Pelodiscus sinensis: one gene and its partners. The protein of the gene in region 3 binds, or shares a complex with, the protein of the main gene of each other region. Links are inferred from orthologs where the notes say so. Each region holds a gene or a part of one and is shown on either strand. Other genes may lie near its edges.

What was found. Proteins that work in one complex are often made in the same cells at the same time.
Region 1: the proteins of GDF5 (region 3) and RGMB are in contact, whole or in part, in a crystal structure (PDB 6Z3J), measured with the Homo sapiens proteins. The link is inferred for Pelodiscus sinensis from reciprocal best matches to the Homo sapiens genes GDF5 and RGMB. Residues at the interface, in NP_000548.2 of Homo sapiens: Leu396, Arg399, Phe435, Pro436, Leu437, Arg438, Ser439, Asn445, Val448, Ile449, Leu452, Ser455, Met456; in NP_001353437.1 of Homo sapiens: Gln57, Thr60, Phe63, Val64, Thr67, Ser68, Leu70, Asn71, Tyr88, Leu103, Val104, Ser107, Ala108, Leu110, Gly111, Ile112, Asp114, Leu115, Gln118.
Region 2: the proteins of GDF5 (region 3) and TWSG1 are in contact, whole or in part, in a crystal structure (PDB 8BWL), measured with the Homo sapiens proteins. The link is inferred for Pelodiscus sinensis from reciprocal best matches to the Homo sapiens genes GDF5 and TWSG1. Residues at the interface, in NP_000548.2 of Homo sapiens: Glu434, Phe435, Pro436, Ser439, His440, Glu442, Asn445, Val448, Ile449, Leu452, Ser455; in NP_065699.1 of Homo sapiens: Cys26, Lys28, Cys31, Ala32, Ser33, Val35, Ser36, Leu39, Ile40, Cys44, Gln45, Cys46, Arg47, Cys73, Val74.

The regions. Positions count from the first base shown.
Region 1 is NC_134716.1:69,370,649-69,378,528, reverse strand, and holds the start of RGMB (repulsive guidance molecule B), read left to right. Parts: upstream 1-4,749; 5' UTR 4,750-4,795; intron 4,796-5,662; 5' UTR 5,663-5,749; coding exon 5,750-5,754; intron 5,755-7,880. UniProt on the Homo sapiens protein: Member of the repulsive guidance molecule (RGM) family that contributes to the patterning of the developing nervous system. Acts as a bone morphogenetic protein (BMP) coreceptor that potentiates BMP signaling. Promotes neuronal adhesion.
Region 2 is NC_134712.1:85,173,525-85,180,734, forward strand, and holds the start of TWSG1 (twisted gastrulation protein homolog 1), read left to right. Parts: upstream 1-4,079; 5' UTR 4,080-4,244; intron 4,245-7,210. UniProt on the Homo sapiens protein: May be involved in dorsoventral axis formation. Seems to antagonize BMP signaling by forming ternary complexes with CHRD and BMPs, thereby preventing BMPs from binding to their receptors.
Region 3 is NC_134728.1:31,475,432-31,482,823, reverse strand, and holds the start of GDF5 (growth/differentiation factor 5), read right to left. Parts: upstream 3,115-7,392; 5' UTR 2,270-3,114; coding exon 1,636-2,269; intron 1-1,635. UniProt on the Homo sapiens protein: Growth factor involved in bone and cartilage formation. During cartilage development regulates differentiation of chondrogenic tissue through two pathways.

The DNA.
Region 1 (7,880 bases), on a different chromosome or scaffold from region 3:
GCAATCACCCTGTGTTCATATTCATAATAATGCATCAGTTATTAGAGGAATTTAATAATGGGAACATGTTAGTAGATGAAATTTCAAGACTTTGAAATAAGGATATAAGGGTCATAGTAAATAACACCCCCAAACTATTATTATATCATATTCATTGTGAAGTATATACAATTAAAATTTTGTATAACCAATAGCCTTTAGAAAATTAATTTACTGTGTGTTACTGTGTTTTAAAAGACAAAATACTTTCACATGAAATATCAGTATCGCATAAAGATAACTATGTTACATGGATATCAGCTAGTAGAGCAGCACTAGCTGACAGTTCAATTGAAAACTTACTCCTGAGTGAAATAAACACAGAAACTGCTAAGTGGAAAAAACTCCTTGAGCACATATTGAACGTCATTCTTTTTCTTTCTGAATGGGGATTGGCTTTGTTTGGTTCCAGGAAACAATTGGTGACTCTACAAATAGAAACTTTCTTGGTATCCGTGAGCTTCTTAGCAAGTATGACACAATCAGGCCATTTTAAGTGTGTTTGTGAATCACATGAGAGATCGGAAAATGTGTGTAAGTCTATTATCTGTCTACCAGAATACAAAATGAGTTTATTGAGCTATGTGGGATATTTGGGCAAATAACGGTTCTTGAGGAGATATGACATGTGAAGTGCTTTTCAATTATTATTGATTCAACTCCAGACTGTTCTCATAAAGAAGAGACAACCTTGGTTTTTTGATATGTTAAAATTGCAGGAAGTTCAAAGATTTCAATTGAAGAACAATTAATTTTGTTCGATAAGTTCACACAAAAAAACCAAGAAAAGAAACCGCCACTTGTGTATTAGAAATTCTGGAAGGCTTCAAATTAAATTTTCAAGTCTGTATTGGCCAAGACTATGACAATGGATCCATTACAGCTGGGAAGTGCAATGGAGTACAAGCAGTCCTTCTTGAGCAAAATCCAAACTGTATTTTCTCCGTTATGGCAACCACACACTAAATCTTGTCAGTGTTGACTGCACTGAATCATGCAAGGAAACAATGACATACTTTGGAACAATTGAGTGATTGTACAACCTCTTCAGTAGCAGTCCTCAGAAATGGGAAATTCTGAAGCAGCATCTGCCTGTTCCCCTTCACAGCATGTCAACAACAAGATGGTCAGCATGAATTGATGGCATTAAACCAGTTGCACAGCATTTGGATTCTGTGAGAAATTTTGTGAGCTTGAATCTCTTACTCTCAGGGCACAGGCTTGCACTAAGTTTAAATCAATTCAGAAGTATACATCCAAATTTGAATGCATTTTAATATCGTCCATGTGGATGAAGCTGCTAAAAAAAATCCACAAAACTAATCTTGTAATTGAAGCATGCAATGCTATTATATGTTGAGAGGGATAACGTTGAATGGTTTCTTAAAAATATTCAAAAGATTCATGATCCGTGGAATGCAATCCTTTCTGAGTCCAAATCAGAAGCACAGGATATTGACATTTCATCTGAGTTTTCCACAAGCTAACATCTCAATCGGATGCAGAAAGGCAGTATCGAACCAATGTTGTTGTTTTATTTGTTATTGTTGACTTCATCAAACATGGTCTTATATGTTGATTTGAGTCACTGCAACAAATTTGTACACTTTTTGGATTCCTCTGGGAATTCAGAGAACTAAGTGATGAAGATCTATATTCAGCAGCTGAACAGTTTCAACAAAGGTTCAACAACAAAATTTCAGGAAATCTCTATGACGAGATTGTTTTCCTGAAACGTATACATTCCATCAACTTTAAATCGGACTGCAAGCCAAAAAAACTGCTTCAAGAAATGTTCAATCTTGGCCTGTCAACTGTATTTCCCAATATCACAATTGCACTATATATTTTTGTCAGTCTCCCTGCATCAGTGGCTTCAGGTGAATGCATATTCAATGTGTTAAAACAAGTAAAGAACTATCATCGTTCTACAATGGGACAAGAACATTTGAATGGGCTCTCAATGCTTAACATTAACAGTGATGTTGCACTTAAATTAGATTTTTCTTCAATTATAAACAATTTTGCACACAACAAAACCAGAAAAGTATTCCTAAAATGAAGAGTTTTACTTGCAGTGGAAACTCACAATTAAAGTTACATTTTAAATATATATGCTATTGATATAATGACTTAATTGTTAATAAATAAATGTTTCAAGTGTTCATTTTCATATATTCTTTTGATTTTAGTATGACCCTGTAAATGAGAAGTTAAATACATCTGCTACCTGGGGGTGGAGCCTCTAAACTCAAAGTGGCTTGGGCCGCTGTCATTCTCTGAGAGGGCCTAGCAGACAGTGGTAATGCCTACTGAATGTGGACCTTATGCTTTCCAGCATCTAATGAGCTCTCTTCACACTTGTGTTTTGCCAGACTATGGGTGCTCCTGTGCTTTTATTATATGAAAATGTATCAGAAAAAATACACTTCTCTGAATCCTAGGGATGTTATGGGGTTTAATTAGTGTTTGAAAAGCAGCACCTTCAGATTCTTAGATGGCAGTTGTGTCATAAATGTAAAATATTAACTACCTTAATATTGGGATCACAGTGTTAAGAGTAAACTTCAAATAATAAAGATCACTGTGCATGTAAAGAACAGTTCAGATGCCTGTGCCAATGTAATTGTGGGGCTTATGTCCTGTCTGGTTCTCCAGCACCCAAGGACCTCCCTGTAAATAATTCACCTAGTGTCTAATGTGCCGGAAATCAGACAAAAATATAGGAGGGGCAGCTGTCCTAGCCAAGTTGGGTTGGCAAAAAGCTAAAGGGATCTGTTCTAGTAAAAATTAAAAGATATTTAATTGTTGTATTTATGTTAGTCCTGATTTCTAAGGTAACTTCTAATATATATTGAGCAATGTTTCTGGTAAGAAGAAAGGGACCATGCCTTTGCTCTGTTATCTCTGTTGCATTGGCAGAAACTCAAGAAAGAAAGAATAGTAAAGGACTGGGATTGCATTAGAAAACATTCTCTCAGGCCAGCTTTCTGGGATTGCTTTGAACTTTTACTCATCATTATTTCATGTGCCGAATTTTCTTTGTGCCTGTGGAAGGAGGATAGGGGGGAGAAAAACACACGAGACTTGCCTTTAGGATTTTTAATCAAAGCTACTGCTCTCCTGATTGCTGCAGTGGATTTTCAAACGCCAAAGCAAGTGGGTAAATTAAAATCCCATGTTCCTGTGGGCTAGGAACAGAGCTGTTTGAAATGTTCTTTAACGAGAAGAGCATGTTCCTATTGTTTTTCTTGCCCGAGCCGAGAAGCTCCAAAGAGATCCTATGTCCGGGAATACCTGGCAAAGGGAAACAGAAGTGAAATTAACTAAGGGGAGGGAGAAAGGGCTGGGCTATAGTTGGTTGCGCTCTCTTACCAAGTTGTTTTGGGTCCTGATCCAAACACCATCGAAGTCCTTGAGGAGTTTCCATGGGTTTTCAATGGGCAATCAGTCCCTCGGTCGCTAGACTGAGCAAATGAGGGACCAGGAATTCTCACAGGAAAAGGAGGAAAAAAAGCTGCTAGCATCTCGCAGTGCATCTGCTCAGTGCTTGAAACGCACAGTCCGGAAAACAAGAAAGCCAAATTCAGCTTCTCCGACCCATGCTGTGGCAACTTAAATGGCGCTATTCTGGTTGAAAAGGAGATGGGTCTGAATGAGACTTTCAGGGCTGGATCCTGAGACAACACAGTAGCGTTTATAATTCATCCCTGTTCTCCCCCCTCCCCATAGTTTAGCGAATTCAAAACAAAATGAGCCGAAGGCCAAATTTCCCTCCAGTTAAATGCAGCCGCTTATTTACTAGGTCAGATTTTCAGCCAAACATTCTGCGCCGATTCTTTGTTGTTGTTATTTGGATTCACTGTTAGCTCAAGAACTGGACAACAACGTACATAATAAAACGCCATCAGGAGAGGGATGGAAAACAGATTGGCCGCTGGCAGCAAAACATCTGGAGAAACCAGGCAGAGGCCTATGGGGGGGAGGAGGGGGGGAAGCTTGTTGAAACTACTTTGCATGCTCAGGTTATAAAAGGGCTGTTAATACCCCCAAAATAAGGGGGTTGTTGGAGGGCTGGGGGAGGGGGTTTCATATCGTAATTCACTCCCACTGCCTACGTTTGCTTGCTGAGGAAGTCTGATACGATGTTGTGAACAAGGCTGGGGAGATTGTAAAAGGCAGCCTACATCGAGGCAGGGCTACGTCGGCCAGTAAAAGGCTCCTTTGTGCAAAGCCTTGACTGGGAAGGGCTGGCGCGGCCATGCCCAGCTGATCAGCCAGATGTGCAGGTACATTCCAGCGGTGGCAGGAGCCACTGGCTGGGGGCGGAGGAACTGTGCTGCGGCTCCCGCCCTCCCCGGAGAGAGAGCAGCTTCCCAGGAGGGAAGGGGGAATTATTTTGCACTCTCGCTCGCTTTCTTTTCACCCCCTCCCCTCATTTGTTTGCTATAGGTGGCGGAAAGATCACGCTGTCATTAAAGGCACATCCCCTCCTTTTGTGCCGGTGCCAGGAAGAGAGAGACAGACAGACACTCCTAGGGGCTGGGGGAGCTCACTGGCGCTCCAGATGAAGCCGATCGCTCGCCAAGGTGTCGCTATCAGTCCCATCTTCCAAGGGGAAAGGGGCTGATCCGTTGTCCCGGCCCTCTCCCCCCCCCCCCCCCCTCCGACAGCGCCGACGGACTCGCTGTGCCATTCTTGCTGCCATTTTTCCCAGCTGGCAAGCACCAGGGATGAAGACCCGGGGATGTTTGTGGTGAGTTGTTTGTGTTGTTGGTCTCGGGGTTGCGTGTGTGTGTGTCGCCAATCCACCTGTCTCTCGCTTTCGAAGGAGCCACCCGTGGCAAGGAAGGGAGGCGCGCTCACCAGTGTCCCGCCGGGCATCTGAAATCGCTCACATATCTGCAGATTACAAATTGCATCTGATAAAATAAACACCTCTTGCTCCACATTGCTTTCCACTGATGTAACCCCGGAGCGGCTCGAGAATACAGTGTAGCTCCCCAGCGCTGGGCTTTCAGCTGACAACAAGAACATCCGAGGGTCAGTTATGAGCATGTAGTGGAAGAAAGGGCAGAAGGCCCAGGGGGGCACTGATGGAAACTTACTCCGAAGGATCCCAAGACTAGTCCGTGTGCGCGCGTGTTTCTGTGTTCCAGACAACTGCGGGCTTAACGAAGCCCTCTCGGGGCCCGGGGAAGGGAGAGCTCGGCAGGTGTGTGCTTCCCTCTTTGCAGTGACAGTTTCTCCGGTTATCAGAGAACTACATGCAAGCCCAGGCTGCGGTAGGAAAGCGAAAGTGTAACTGACGGCAGTAATTGCATTGTCTGGAAAGTGGGTGGGTGGGGAGAGAGTCCTGAACACTTTAGAGCTTTCTTGGGACTTTCTGGCTAACGAGAGGTTAATTTTGTTTCGGAGGGACGATTGTGTTGGTTTCCTGAGATACATGGGCAGGAAAAGCATTACCTCCTCGGTTCTGGCAGGCGGCTTCCAAATGCTTTCCGCACCTGCTACTTTAGTCAGTATCTGCAAGTCTAGGGCCCCATCAATTTAGGGCCAAGTAACGAACGCTTTCTGTGCCTTGCGAAGACGGACCTAACGTTTTTAATGATCTAATATACAGGTCCTAATTTGCAAAGTATCCCGTCCTCCAGGAGAACATGATGCAGCGTTGACTCCAGCGATCGGCGCCGCACCCTAAGGGTTAAATATGATGTAAGTACAAAAATATTTAGAAGTCGATTTATTATGTACTTATTGCTGATACTTTGCCTTCATTACAGTGGCAAAAGAAATAGTGGGGAATATGACGACTTGTTTTGCAAATTGAAACCCCAGGTTTCAGACCCCGCTATTCTTCCTTCACATGCCAATATAATAAGCAGACCAAGAGGATATTTGTGTTGTGCTTCTGCAACTGAGATTATAGCAGTAGGGGAACAGTTAAGGCATGACGCATACCTTTTGGAAAATAAACCACAGGTTGTTTAAAATGCAGTAATGCTTCTTGCATGTGTTTGACTTTTTCCCAGTTACACGCTCATTAAATTTCTCTTTTTTGTTGGGTCACTGCTTGTTTTGCCATTTGTTTTCCTTTTTGGGGGAAAAGAAAGCGAGAAGGAAAGGTCCGAGGCTTTAAAAAAATCTTGACTTATTTTCCTTTTTTACATTTTCAACTCACTACTATGATCCTCGTTTAGATGATCTTTGGTGGGTTATAAAATTAAATGTACACCTCAAAAATCCAGAGACAAATTTGATATTGTTTATAAAAACTGTGTACGGAATTCAAATAATTAATAATTAACTTTTACTATGAAATACAGCGCACACTAACGATGACCTTTCTATGCAAATAGCTCTGCTAATTTTAATATCCTGACACTTGAGACTCTGAACTATTCTCGTAACAACATTGTCTTCTGCTCAAGGATTATACATTTTTATAATAACAAATATGCAAATTTTAGGCATCTGAATCTCAGGCTTGACAAATTTTACAATTAAACAATAAAATGTACTTTCTCCTTTGAATGAACATAGTTACATTTCATAACCCAAAAATTCGGAGTAACTCAAGTGCGCCCTCTATTTGCCAAAGAACAGAACTGACGAACTCAGCAAAAGAATTGGAACAATTAAAAGTCAGCAGCAGGCAAAGATGCCACCGACTTCAGTGAGAATATCGCCTCAGGAGGGATTTCAGGATCTGATTTTAGCCTGGTTACTAATTTAGGAAAACCCGATATTAAAGCGGTAACTCTAGAAAGTCAACACAAGCAAAAAAACCAAGTCACTTTGAGTTTTTTTGGCACAGAACTCCGAAGAACTAGTCTTTCATGTTTCTTTAATGGGTCACCAAATGGGAGAAGTTAAGGATGGAGTGAAAGATCTATTTTCGAAATTCTTGATTTTTATCAATTTAAATCACGTTTTGTTTTTGTTTTTTTTTAACTAAAAAGAAAATTGGGTTAGACACCTGATACCACAATTGCCCCCAAGGCAATGGTTAAAGTCCAGCTTTGTACAGAATACATCATTCCTATGTGGTGTCACTATGATGATATTGTGGATACAACCTAAAAGGCTTGAATCATGCCCAAGGGAGAATCAGCTCTTTGTCACTGGCACAACTACAGGATACAGTGATGAGAAAAGACACTGTCAACATGGTTAGTTTAATATATAATTAGGTTCTCTTGATAACTTTTCCATGTGCATTTGCTAGGAATTACAAAGACAGTCATAGATAACTTAACAGGGTAGTTTGTACAGATAAAGCATTTTTGTAGGGAAAAATGGATTAGTCCAAGAAATGACTGTTTCTAAACTTTTTTTTTCATACTACTGAATTATTTTTTCCCATGCTTCCTAATGCCTTTGGTTGGGGTAGAGAGATGGGGAGGGAGAAGGTGTATCACTGTGGTCAAATTTCAGTACAACTTAACAAAGAAAAGAAGGTGAAGGAATTGCTGTGGATCTGATCACTGCAAACTTCAGACCAAACACCAGGGATGCTGGAACAATTTGTGTAGTGGGGGTGCTGACAGGTGTTGAAACACACTATAAACCCTGTTTATAATGGAAACCACTTCAAGCCAGCAACACCACCTTCACCTCCTAGTTCTAGCACCTATGCAAACATCCTTCATTATATGGGGCATGTTGGATAGGCCTACTCATTTTCACCTTATTATTAAAAGCACAAGCACTAATTACAGAATCCCCATTTTCCTCTGTAAGCTAAATCCTCAACACAGTGCAGTCTTGGGGGTTGGAAGAAAAGGGGATAAGGTATGTCTGCCTGACTACACCAAAGAGAAATGTGGGTCCTAGTGAAA
Region 2 (7,210 bases), on a different chromosome or scaffold from region 3:
GTTGCCATAAGGGAAGCCAACTCCCTTCTTTCCTGAACAGACAATCTTTAATGTGCCTTTCCCCCTATTTCCACTCCTGCAAGAATTGCACAAGATTCACCTGAACTGAGCTATTGTGATTCTGTATTCTGGCCATGCCAATTCTGGTTCACAATCTCCACAGACTCTTCACCTGCACACCACTCTGCTTCGGGACACTCCCTGATGTCCTCAATCAAAATTGGGGCCAGGTCCAGCATCCCAAGCTAGGCCATCTGCTCCTCATAGCCTTCTATTTGGATGAGGTTTGGGGATAGACAGGGTATGTTCCACTCTGGTGTAAGACATCCTTATGCAAAGGAGGGCATCCAGCAGGTTCTGCTACATAGCTAAATGGAGACACTTTACCTCATGGGGTCACCGCCCTCACCGTCCACTGAGTGCTATATCTATGCCTACCATCCTCACCTACCTTCTCAATTTTACCCTTAGCTCTATACGAATCTACCTGTCAGTGCTCAGTGCTTTTGTCTCACTTGTGGACTAGGGATGTAAAATCCCGTTTAATCAGTTAACTTTTTTAAAGTTATGTTTAACCGATTAACCGTTTAAATGGGGACAGGCCAGAGGAACTGGGCCAGAGCAGCATGCTGTGGGCAGGGGCACTCCAGCCCACTCAGAACAGCCCCAACTTGCACCAGACTGGGCCCACCACAAGGGGGACTGCTCTGGCCAGGCTGGAAGGCCCCCCGCCACCCGCAGCAGAAGGCCCCTGCCAGTTAACCATAACTGGTAAGCGTCACCTGGTAAAGATGATGATCATCGCTTAACCAGTTAACCATTCACATCCCTACTGTGGACAGCTCCACTGAGTTTATACAACTCTACCACCATCCATTTCATGAAGGGTTTACTCAGTACCTTCCTGTTAGTACTCAAGCCTACTCCCCAGTTGGACTTGAATCTTGTTCTCTCAGCCCTCATAAAGCCACCCTTCCAGTCACTGGCAACAAGCTCCCACCTCTCATGCAGCTGATATTCTTGACAGTCATTACCTCAGCCAAACAGGTCAGTGTACTATGGGTGGTGCCCCCTCTGTCCTTTTTGCCTGTCTCCCCACCATAATCAGAGCCCACAAACCTCCTGCCCCCCCTCCCCACTGCATCCAGAGCCACAAGACCTCCTACTTCCTCACATAGCCAAAGCCCTGATACTCTTGGCCTAGCCAGAGAAGCCCCGATATCCTCTGTGATCTTCTTGTAGATTAGGGAAATTACTGAGGAATCTAGGAAGCTGAATAGCCCATACTATCTACTCAGGAACCCCAGAACTTGCATGAGGCATAATAAATTAAAAACTTCCTTTGCCCCAAACCCTGTAACTGAGGGTCTGATGGAGGCAGAAGCATCAGGGAAGACAGAGCCATCCTTGCTGCTTATACCCTCCATCCATCCTGGCAACCCCTCCTCACAAGAATAAAGTTTTCTTTTGGTTATACCCTAAATAACTCCCGAAATTGTGTTAAAGTTCCACCTAAATCAGTGCATCCACCTACATGTTTTCTGCCATAAGCCCACAAACCTCCCACACTGACAGAGTCCTGTACTCCCTCAATATCCACCATACATTCTACTACCACAGGACTTGCTCATTTTGCACATGGCCAAAACTATTTGTGACCGTGGCCATTGACAACTGATTCAGTCCTCTCATCCAAGTGAATCTCCAAATGGGTTTCCAGGTGCATCTGCGAATGCTACACACAATCAACATACTTCCACTTGATGGAGACATAGGGCACTCTACGTGAGTGCAAGCAGCCACACTGACCTGCCTCAAAGATGACTCCCGGCAAGACATATGGCATGTAGCAACCTGGCATTCCATCCACGTGTTCACATACTACTATGTCATTGCTGAAAGTAGTAGCTACAGGCTCTGCTGTGGGCCAGCTTGTCCTGCTGACTGCACTTTCACTGGCATCCTCACATCTACCTCTTCACTGATCACTGCTTGCTAATCACTCAGGTATCTTTCATAAAAGATGGATACATAAGGGATCAGAGTGGATAAAAATCAGAGTGGGTTTTTTTTTTTAATAAATCAGGTTTTTTAAATTTAAAATCTGATTTTTTAATTTAAATTGGATTTATTTTTTTAAATCAATAAAATACTCAATTTCTCATTTCAAAAATAAGTTACAGTTTAATCTAATCAAAAGCATGCTATACCTACACCTACATTGTCATAAAAATAAATTACTTGCTCTAGTCTGTCCAGTCTAACTACCAGCTCTCGCTTCTTAAAAGTTCTGGGCTTTCAATTCCTGTTTCTCAGCAGACTACAAAGTGCAAAGAGCCACTGGCTGGATAGGATTGTTTTAGTTCTGTGCTTATATGATGGTGGAGCTTAGCCAAGCACAGTAGAGCAGTTAGTTAAGCCATTGTCTTAAAGACAAAGACAATATATTGGAAAGGATGGAGGTAGCATAGAAAGGAACAGTGAAAAGTACTGGGGGAAAAAAAGGAAGCCATTATTCAGAACACTCATAGCTTCCTATATTCCCCCCACTTTTGCCACAGACAAGTGCCATCGCTTCTAGACATAAGAGAGACCCTATCTGGAATAGTTTGAAGAAATTTGTTCCCTGGGTAAAAAAAGAGAGAGTGTCAAGTGTAAGCAGTGCAAGAAGATGCAGGGCCTAGTTGTGAGAACGAAACATCATAAAGAAAACTGCTTATTGGGAGAAAATGATGTGGATATTGACAAGTAAATTCCCAAGCTGTTTACTGTGTTGGATGTTGCTAGGGGAAAAAAAGTTTAGTTTAGCTAATCCTTATGGCTTGTTTAATTAGTTAACAAGGTTTAGACTATCACTCAAGTATACAATACAGAAAGCTGCAATAAGAGAAATCTAGATTTGCCAGTTGCTGCTGATGGTAATTTTGATTCATATTACATAAGACATTACCCTTATTTTGGAACATCCTGGCCATAGATGCCGTAAGTCCATTCCCTATTTTACTTCAGCATAACTCAGCTCTTCCAAGGGAATCCCATTCCATACCCTGTCATAGTGAAGCTGCCTCCCTGTGAGCCAGCTGAATTTAACTGATACCACTAAATAATAAGCAACAGCTAATTGGTTAAACAATTAATTAATTAAACTCTAACATCCCTACTGTAGGCACAGCCAGTCATTGCTGTTTTGGTAATTTGATTTAAATCAATGATTTTTTTGTGATATAAATAATCTTGATTTAAATTAGTCTACCTAGATAGGGACCACAACTTGAAAAAAGAAGAGGTCACTTATCCTCAACTGGAGGTTCTTTGAGATGCATGGTCCCCATTTGTTTTCCAAGACCTGCCCTTCATCTCCTTTACTGTGAATTCAAATACATAATAAGAGGCCCACTGGAGAGACATTGATTTGCACAACCAGCTTCAAGCATGAGGGGATGCATCCTGCTAAAAACACTTCTGGACACAGGAGTGTGCACACCCACTCGTGGAATACAAAAAGGGATCACATCTCTAGAAGAACCTCCGGCAACAAAGCACGACTTTATAGATCTCAGCCATATACCTTCTCCTGGCTCCTCTCTGTTCTCAGTTCAACAGTCTGGGCTGGTAGCATCTGGCCTTGCATGGAAGCTGTCGCCCACCCTCCAACTGCTGCCCATGGCCCTTCTCTGTACTTTTCCCAAGTCCAGTGTAACTCTTTAGAGGGAGGCCACCAGAGCAGCCCAGGGCATTCAAGCCTATTTTCCACTCCAAACACGCAGCGATTCAGTCCAGTGTTAAAATGTGGAGCAGCTGCCACATCTGGGGCCCGCCTGCTGCAGAGGTGGCCAGGCCTCAGGGGCTGGGCCGCCCTCCGGCCGGGGAGCCCTTTGCAAAGTTTGGCAACTTGGCCAAACCGACCCGGGAAATGGTCCGGGTTTGGGGGGGGGGGGGGAGGCGGAGCAGGTCTCCCCGAGCGGAAGGTGGGAGCAAGGTCCGGGGGGAGCGGGGGCAGCTCCGCAGTGAGTGCGAGGGGGGAGCCAGCCCCACCCCCACGAGGGAGGGAGGGAGGGTCCCGTCCCGTCCCGTCCCTTGACGGAGCCCCTAGGCGGGGCGCTGCCGGGCCCTGCGCGAGCGGCGCGACGCCTCCTCCCTGCGTGCGGCCGAGGCGGAGGAAGCCGCGGGCTGCACAGCGCGGCCGCCCCCGCCGCCGGACCGGAGCGCCAGGCACAGGGGCTGCCCCGCCCGCGACGCCTTTGGTAAGAGACCCGCCGGGAAGGGGGAGCAGAGCGGGGCTGGGCAGCGAGGCTCGCTCTGCTTTGTAGACAGGCTGGAGACGGCCCCGGGCACGCCGCGCTGGGGGACCCCCCCGCGCCCAAGCGCAGCCGGGCACTGGCGGGGGGGGGGGGACCGGGGACTCGTTGCTAGTCCTTGGCTCTGCTTGGGGTGAGCGCGGCTGCCCCCCCCGCCCCGGCAGAGGGGCTGCTGCTGCTGCACCCCCCTTTCCATCGCACGCAGGGGTTACAGGTCGCTGCAGCGGCTCCCAGCATCCCCACCGCGCGCACCGTCCCAGCGCCCTGCCCCGCGGAAGGGTGGGAAAGTTTCAGGAGCAAACGTTTGGGTTTGTTTTTTCCCCCAGGAGGCTTGTGCCATGGCCATCTTCATAGGAAAATGGTGACTCGGACAGAAGAGCGGGGGGGCGGGGGGGGGGGAGTCTCCGTGAATTATTAAGTCAGTTCGAGGTGTTTTGTGTCATTGGGAGCTGCTAGTACATGAGCTGGTAGAAAAACTGTTGGGGGGGGGGCGGGGGGAAAGGTGGCATTAAAAGCAAACCCAGCTTTGTGTGTGTGTTGGTCAGGCAGTCAAGTTCAAGTGGGTGTTAGATGTACAAACCTCCTGAATCCCCCAACCTGGGCAGTAGGGTATGTTGGATTGAGGAGGTTTTGTGTGGCCCATGGAGGGTGCTCGGGCAGGGCTTAGGAGGGAGGGCGTGTGAGGGGGATGGGAGTGAGGGGGATTACTTGGCTCTGTGCCCCCTTCTGCTCACAGGCATCCCCTTCTACCCCCCCCCCGTCTTTTTTAAAGCAATAAAGAGACACTTCCAATGAGGCATCTTCCCTCCGCTATGAGGAGAGGAGGAGTAGCAGGCATAGACCTGATTGCTCTTCCCCTTTGACTGGGTCCATACCACAGGTGTTTCTGGATTAGGGACACCCAAAGTACAGAGATTCATGTTGTGAATTGTTTCTGTACTGCTGCACTGACAATCATTCACTTGAAAACTACCTAGCTACCCAGGGCAAAATGAAGCTCCAAGGAACAGAGACCTCAGTCTTATTTCTGTGTATGGAACCAAATTATTTGAACTATGCCCTCCCTCAGCAATTTTAAGGGGCAAGAGCAATGTAGATAGTGAAGGGACAGTTCAGCCATACAAGGGCTCTAGTGATCTGGTCATGAACCAGAGTCCCATTGTGCTAGATGCTGTACAAACACAGAACAAAAAGAAGTTGTCCCAAAGAGATTACAGTTCAACTACTGTACCTCTCGTTTCTGTTCAGTGTTCCTACCACTTGTGTTGGCCCAGACCCATTGAAGGAACATGATCTACTCCAGTGTTTCTCAACCATTTTTTGTAATAAAGTACTTCCTTTAAAAAAATAAGTACCCCCAGTACCTACAGTTTTCAGACACACACACACAATTTTTTTTACCATTGCAGCAACATTTGATTAAACAACTTAATCGTAGCCAGGTGAGCAATGACATTTTTGGGTGTAAAAAGTACAAAAATAATAAAGCGCTGTAAAACTTATAACAAATTCAGTTTTCTCCAAATTTCAGTTGTGTTGACAAAACCCCCACGTTTCTCTTGAGTACCCCAAGGGTACCTGTACCACTGGTTGAGAAACACTGATTTCTACTCTTTTGCTGCCATAACAAACTCTCTGACGGCAGTACCATAGTGATAGAAATGTAGCCGTGTTAGTCTGGGGTAGTTGAAGCAAAATGCAGGACAATGTACCATCTTGTTAGTCTTTAAAGTGCTACATTGTCCTGCATTTTGCTTCAACGGCAGTACCATATGTTTGTGCAGGTGAAGAAGTTTAATCACCAACTCATGATGGGTGTGTCATGGATATTTTCTCCCCTGTGTCATGATTCCTTGTTTTAGATTAGAAAGCATTTTTGTTTAGGATGGACTTAGCTAGCCCATGTTTGGACTAACTCAACCAGCCGAAATCAAGCTAAAGATGTTGACCAATTTTCACAGTTTAGATACAAGATGAGTAACTTGTGTTAATTAAGCCAGATCTAAACTTGACCTTATTCTAAGTCAAGGTTTAGTGTGCAACTTAGGGAATCATTAGGAATGAGCCAATGAGAGATAGCTGGCAGAAAGTGAAGGTAGGTGAGGAATGAAGACCAATGAAAAAGGTGTGAGGGGCAAGCTGGGGATGGGTGTAGTGAAAATGTAGATTGAAAAAGTAAGTGGCAACTAAGATAAGCAATGGAACATGGAAATGGTTAGCCACTCACCCCACAACAAAGATCAATATTCAGTTATCAATGTACAGTAATTCCTCATTTAACACTATAGATATGTTTCAGAAAATGATCGTGTTAAGTGAAAACATGTTTTGCGGGGTCAATTTTCCCATTGAAAAGAATGGAAAAGGTGGGGGTTGCGTTTCAAGCGGTGGTGTCTGTTGGGACCGGGACATAAGGTTGGGGGAGAAAGGGGACTGGGTTACAGCAGGGAGGGGAGGTGTTTGGCTCTGGGGAAGGGAAGGAGAGGGGAGGGGGATTGGGTTGGGAGTATGCCCCTGTGACCGGTCTGCCAGGACCCACACTGCGTCCGGTGAGGGGAGTCGCCGGGGAACAGTGCGGTGAGCGACAAACCCTCTGCCGTTTTGCAGGGAGGCGGGGGAAGCCCCGCACAACCGCCAGCAACAGGCCGGTTGGGGAAATTGTGTTATTCCAGGGATGGTCGTGTAATTCAAAAAACGTTTCCTAAAAAAATAAATCATGCTATCGTGAAAACGTGTTAAGCAGGCACGTGTTAAATGAGGAATTACTGTAACTCCATAGCAGCATATTCATGTTTGTATTAGCTATCCAGTTGTGTATTCATAAGCCTTTTGATATATATTGACTAAATCCAGACTGATGACATTGAAACAATTTGGTGCTACGTCAAAACATGACTTAATTCACTAATCTA
Region 3 (7,392 bases):
AGCCCTTTTGCGCAACTGTTCTTGCACAAGAGGCCAGTGTAGACAGGCAACATGAATATCTTGCGCAAGAAAGCCCTATGGTTAAAATGGCCATCAGAGCTTTCTTGCACAAGAGAGTGTCTACACTGGCAAGGATGCTTTTGTGCAAAAGCACATGCCCGTGTAGACACTCTCTTGCGCAACTACTTTAATGCAAGAACTCTTGCTCTAAAGAGTTTTTGCACAAGATCACGCCAGTGTAGACGTAGCCTGGGTGTTTTCTGGCCCCAAAGTATCAATTAGCCAACTGGCAGAATTCCTCCTTCAGGTTTGAGCCCTCACAATTAATGCTACCACTTGCATTCTTGAAATAGGACTGAAGTGGGGTTTAGGTGGTGCCTGGGACTCATGCTGTTCCTTGCACAGTGGTGAATTTCACAAAGAGATATTGAAATGGTTTGTCCCTTCAAACCCAAATCCTCCAGAAACTGCCAGACATCAGGGTAACTGCTTTATTAAGGCTCGCAACTTATTCTGACAGTGCAAAAAATATAACGCCCCTGAAAAATTGTTCCATTTGCCTGGTAAGGTTCATAAGAAACGCTATTAAGAAACATGGTTATTTAAACTCACCATGTTACATTAACATGGCCTTCCAAAGGAGAATCAAGTATTTCATCTGGACTGCAGCTGTGCTGAGCAGCATCCCATTTCACTATAGCAGCAAAATTGTGATAATTAAATCTCTTCTGAGTGTCCATTCCAGAGGAGATTGTCAGTGACAACCTCAAATTGCTCCCTCCTCCATCGCATTCCCAGGAGCTGCTCTTTATGGGCACCATCCATACTCCCTTCAGTCCCAGAAAAAAACTCATCCTGACATGGAGGAGAGCAGCACCGGGCTCAAATTATGCTACTAGAAGTGTCAGGTGAATACCTGATCTGTGACACTGTCCATCTCACCAATCAGAAGAGCTAAATGATGATCAGGAAATAAAGCCTGTTCATTTATTGGAGGAAGAGGTGCCCAAATCTATCTCAATTTTCTCTCATTTTTCCACAATCAAAAACTCATGCCACAGCGTCTCAGGTCTCTCCTTGGAGAGGCCAGCATTTTAACAAAGAGCCTCTTTGTTTGGCTCCTGGAAAAGCACAGAAATAGCACTGTCTTTGTGGCACCATGTGCCTGTAGACATACGGCTCGCAAGAAAGAAAAAGATATTTTACCAACTACTGTAGCTGAAGTATGAAAAGCCCCAGAGTTAGATTTTCAAAGGTGTTTAGGCACCTAAACATGCCAGTAGGCAGTCAGTGGGTTTTCAAACCACCTGGGCATCTAACACCCATTAATTTCAATATGAGGTAGGTGCCTCTGTGCTTTTGAAAATTCGATTAGGCATCTGCCTTTGAAAACCTGTCCCTAAAGGGTTTGCTTCACAAGCATATAAATACTATAGCCTGCTGCCAGAAGAATCTTCTAAACTTAAACTGAAAAGAGAAAAATTGCCTTTCAGTTACGTGATTCTGATTACATATGAATCAGTCAAGCTGTTTTCTTTTAGTAATGGTTATTTTTCAGGTAACAGTATATACAGACATGCACCACATACATACTGACGTGACATGCACACTCAAATGTGGTAGCACCTTTCTTACCTTGTCCTTTATCTATAAAGCTTGTTATTGTGTTGGCAAGTCCAGTCTCCAGTTTTACACTTCCATTAATGCCTTTTCTTTCTGCATCCGAGAGAGTCCTGTAGAGGGAGAGCATGTATTCATGTGGCGTTATAGGGGGGTGTTTGAAAGTCTCTTTAGGTTCCCTTTGTGTTACTGGCTCATTAGCCTTTTTGGTTTTATAAGAACTGGTATCAGTATTACTTGTGCTACTTTTTCTGAGTGAAGCTTTGATGCCAAGGTTCAGAGCTTTTGGGGTCACTGTCCTTACTCCAGATTGTCTGTATGGGGACTGCCCTACCTTTGTGTCTGTGGTCCCTTCTCTAGAGAGACTCTTCTTTGGTTCATTATTCTTTGCCAAGAGAGCTCCAGCTTGAACAGTATTGCTTTTAGCTCTAGCCTTTAAGGTCCCAGCACTATATCCATGGTTTCCAGTCCTAAAGGTACCTGCCCTTGGTGAGGGATTTGTCTGTTTTCCTTCTGCTTTTAACAATCCTAACTTGGATCCTGGATTACTCTGACCTGCTACAGAATTACTAAACAATACAGAAACTAGAACCAGATAGAACCAAGTCATATGCCAAAGCAGTAAAGTGAGAAAGTGCAAGATTTTCATCCTCTGGTCTTCCTTTGAATGCCACTAAAGAAAAAATCAGAAAAGGTTCCTCCAGTTTGGCATAAAAAAACATTAAAGAAATTAAAAACTGAAGTCAGCAGAAACAGATTTCTTTTAAGCTTAAAACATTTTAAATCTGTTTGTTTAACATTTGTATCCAGTCCCATAGTGGAAATGCTCATTTATTCCAATCCAATCTTCTCCTGTCCTCAGTTAGCAGCTAAAAAGAACTTGTTCTTGAAAAGAGAAGGTTTACCACCCCCTTTTCTTCTGTAAAACTGACTGAAAGCTTGAAGGAGACTTGTTTAAATCTGAGTGGGTTGTGTTTTTTTTTTCCAAGAAGGAAGAATGGCGTAATGCTGCCTCTGTGTTACAAGTTTCTTTTTCTTTTTTTCTTTTTAAGTTTTGAATCCCTTCCAGTGAAAATATTTCACACACACAGACCTGCAGGTGCTTAGAATTTTTTTTGCAAACCTGAACTCAGGAATTGGAAACGGAATTCCAACAAAAACCTATTTAATTACTCTCTGATGTCATGCTGTCTAAACTAATTTAACTGCGATATATTTCTTTAAAAAAATCCTCTTTACTCTTTGCATTAGCATGAGTCATACTCTGCTTCATGTGAAACAACTCTGTAGGATCAAAACTCCAGAGGATGCCATTTAAAGTGGCCATACAACCTTTACATTAGCCTTAGATGAACTTCATATTCAAATAGAACAAATTAACAGCATTAATACTGTATAGAATCTGTTAGAATAATCATATTCAAGTGTCTTACATTTCATATAGTTCTAGATTTGGAATCTTTTCTTTATAACTGCAACAGTGAAGTCACTTGGTCATTTGCTAACTGAAGGACTTTGTTAACAAAGCAAGTTTTTAACAAGGACAAAGTTTAATGTCTTGTACATCTACTCACACAATTAACATATTTTGAAAGCATTAATTGTTATACATTTAGAAAATAAAGTTAATTTCAGTTTGATGCAAACACTTGAACAAATGAACTGAAGCATCATGAAATACACTGGGATTGTTTCCCTGTTTTGTAGACAGCATTTCATTTCTCTTCAGATTTCTCCATTTCTGTAATATGTTCCTTGAAGTAGAACTTACCTACAAGTTCTGTTTCTGTCCAGAATTAAGCAGCAGTGTCCCCTGCAGGAAAATAGAGTTTTTGTCAACCTAAGGCACTGGGGGAGCCAGAAAAATAGGATTCTAAAACTACTGTTCACGGGCTTGGTCTATGCTAGCAACTGATGTGGGTGTAACTACATTGTTGTCCTGTTGTTCTAGGCAGCATCTGCATTATGCGCTGCAGCACCTTTTTACTGTAGACAAGCCCTCGTTCTTTTAATGGCTTCATGTCAATCCTTTACTAAATAGTGAAATGCGCAACTTTAATGATCCATTCTGAAACCTCCACAGAAATAGCATATAATCACCGTGTTGGGACTTAGCAATGGGAACTGTCCGATGTGTCAAACTAAACCAGTTTGTATTCTGATTTTAAAGATACTGCAGAACAAACAAATCTGTCTTGTAAATTGTAGAAAATGGGTTTCTAAATGAGACCTTGGGATGGAAGAGCTGTCTGAGATCAAATAAGATTGAACTCAATCCCTTGCCCCAGAGTGAAACTGAACTCAGTCCCAGCAATCTGAACTAGGTGTACAGCTAGTTCGGATTAGGAAGCCTAATACGAACTAGCTAGTTCGTGCCGCGTGTAGCCGCGCGGCATGCAGTCCGAACTAGCCGGCATTTAAAAATGGCGCCGGCCAGCTTTATGCAAATGAAGTCCGGGAAATTCAAATCCTGGGCTTCATTTGCAACTCCGTATGACTACATTACCCCCCCTAATTCGAACTAGGGGGGTAGTGTAGACATACCCTTATTGAGGGGTCATACAGGCCAAAATGGAGAGAGGAGGCAAAGGATGCTCAGGAAAAATATCCAGGGGCCAGCAGAGAAGAAAGGCACCCATGCAGATTCCTTTGGGGTACTTCCATTTAGCCAGCTTGGTGAGTCCAGGCCCCTTGAGTCCCTGGATAGAACTCCTTCTCTGCCATGTTGTGTCTGATGGTCCCTCGGATGGAACTCTTAGGCACTTGTGTCCAATGGGCCTTGGATGGGGACCCTGGCCACAAAGCCATTGGATTAAAGCCTTACAGCTATTCAGTGCTGACCATTCTGACTCACTCTGTGACCCCATTCATATTTAATTTTTATATCAACTGGAACAGCTTCAATTGGAGAGGTTGAGAGGGTTCCCACAAAGTACCGCATGGGTCCAACCACAAGGTAGAAAGGCCTGATTTGGTAGCTGCTGAAGCCCTACACAGACAGCTGTGTTTGTTACTTTTTGCATTTTTGTTTCTTGTTTTAACATTGCTGCCTCTTTCAGTCCTTCACCCTTTAGAAGCCCTGCTGGTAAGGTACAGAAATGCTGCCATGGCAGTACTTTGATGTTGCTGCCCCAAAAGGGGCAGAGAAACACTGCCACGGTAGCACTGCCGGACCCTAAGGCTGGGCCGCTGATGGGGGGAGTAAAAGGGGGTGCTGCCCCAGTACCTGGTAATTGAAAAGTGCCCAGGACTCTCGGCCACCACAGAAGCAGCTGGGAGCCCCAAACCCTTCAAATTACTGCTGAAGCCCTGGGGCACAAAGGGATGTCTGGAGGAGCCTGCCCCTTCTGCCCAATGCCCTACCCCTCTGGGGCCCCAGAGCCGCCCAGGACCCCGGCTCCAGGTGCACCAGTAAGTCCTCCTTTTACTTTCACCCCCCGCAACAACAACAACCAGAGGTTTTCTATCTGATGGAAACTGTGAAGCTGGTAACCTTTCAACAATTCAGCCAGCTCATCTGAGCAAGGGGTGGGTCCATCACCAGCAGGCTATGAGTGCGAAAGAGGCAGTCCACCTCTCAGAATATTTTCTGGAAGCAAAATTAGATTGTGAGTTGTCAGGAAAGCCCAAGAAGCCCATCTCTGCTACGTTGGAGTCCATGAGAGGATGGTTACAGCTTGCAACAGCCCCTTTGGACACAACTTCAACAGGCACGGGACACATTGGCATTCTCCCCAGGGATGGCCTTGGGGCTGAATAATATGCCAAAGATCACACTTGGAGGAATGAAAAGAAGGGAGGAGGTCCCATAATTTGCATTACTTGTGGGCAGGAGAAGGCCACGGGTAAAAAGATTGATCTCAAATGCAATGTGACTGTTCCCAGGCCTGTGCCTCACAAACCCAGTAGAAGCTTTTCAGCTCAAAGGATAACATTATTCCAGTCACAATAGATGGAAACACAATGCTGGGCCTGGTTTAGGAGAGACCAGAGGTGAAAATAAGCTGGGATAGGGTACTGGTAAGAAAGTGGCTGAAGTAGCTTTAAGGCTCTGTCTACACAGCCAACTTTAATGCACTGCTGCAGCAGGGCTTTATTGTAGCTGAATAGTCACAGCTCCAGCACTGAGAGAGATCTCCCAGTGCTGTAATAAAGCCATCTCTATGAGGGGAGTGACTCCCATTGCTGAAGCAGTGTCTACACTGCCACTTTACAGTGCTGAAACTTGCATTGCTCACGGGTGGGGGAGGACACTGAGTGGTGAGGAGCCCCAGAGAGCAGGAAGGTGAGTAGCAGTGGCCATGTCAGCACCCTGGGAGCCACCTCCGAAGGGTTGTCTGTGACTGCACCTCGTCACATCGTGAATTAAAGTCATGCAAAGGGAACCAGGAAGCTAAATGTGTAGGAGTGGAGGTGGGAAAGTGGGTTGCAACACGACTGTACAGGTGAGAAATGTAGCAATTACTCAGCCCTCTTCTTTAAATCTTTGGGTACGTCTACACTACAGCACTAATTCGAACTAACTTAGTTTGAATTAGTTAATTCGAACTAAGCTAATTCGAACTAACGCATCTAGACCTAAAAACTAGTTCGAAATAGCGTTTTGCTAATTCGAACTAGCGCGTCCACACTGATTGGACGCAGGGGCGCATTTAAGGGCGGCTGAAACCGGTTCTGGCAGGGCATCAGGTCAGTAATTGCGTTGTGTGGCTGCTGTCTGAGGCTATCTGAGGCTTGTGCTTAAAGGGACCCCCCTGGACAGCCGGTTCTCAGCTTTTCCTGCTTGCTTGCCATCCTCGCTGAGGGACAGCAAAGCGTTGGTCTCTGTGCCCGTCTGTGTCGGTGCTTCCCTTCGGGGCCGCCGCCGCAGGTGGCAACATGGAGCCAGAGCTCACCCTGCACCTTCTGGTGCACTTTCTGGACTTGCTGCTGCAAGCCTGCCAGCAATGGCTCGAGGCTGCCTGGCACCACCTGGTGCACGTCAGCCCCCTGCCTCTCCACCTGGCCGCCCTGGGGGCCGTGGAGGAGCCGTGGCGGCGCCCCGGCACCGGCGTGCCCCGCCGCATCTGGCGTCTGGACACCAGCAGCGACTGGTGGGACCGCATCGTCCTGGAGCGCTGGGAAGTGGACCCATAACTTCAGGATGAGGAGGGACACCTTCCTGGAGCTCTGCGAGTGGCTTGCCCCTGCTCTGCGCAGAAGGGACACTCGCATGAGGCCCGCCATCCCCCTCCAGAAGCGGGTGGCCATTGCCCTCTGGAAGCTCTCCATGCTGGACAGCTACCGATCCGTCGGGAACCAGTTTGGCGTGAGGAGATCCACCATCGGAGCAGTGCTCATGCAGGTACGGCACTCGCCGGCCACAACGCCAGAGGAGGAGGGGGGCTGCAAGGAGGGGATGGGCCACCCCAGGGATAAAGGGGGGGGGCGGGAGGAGGCGAAAGCGCCCCGCACCGGAGGGGTCGGTCTGTCCCGGCCGTACTACACGCCGCCAGGGGGGTTGCTTCCAGGAGTGGGGCGCGGGGCACTGCCAGGGCACGAATGCTCCCAGCCACCTGGGCGCCCCACTGATTGGCGCTTTGCTGTGTCTCTCTCCGCAGGTGGTCAAGGCCATCAACCGGGTGCTGCTCCGCAGGGTGGTCCGCCTTGCCGACCCGGATGCCGTTATCCAGGGATTCGGCGCCCTCAGCTTCCCCAACTGCGGGGGGGGGAGGGGGGCCATCGTCGGGACGCACATCCCCATCCATGCCCCGGAACACCAGGCGTCCCGTT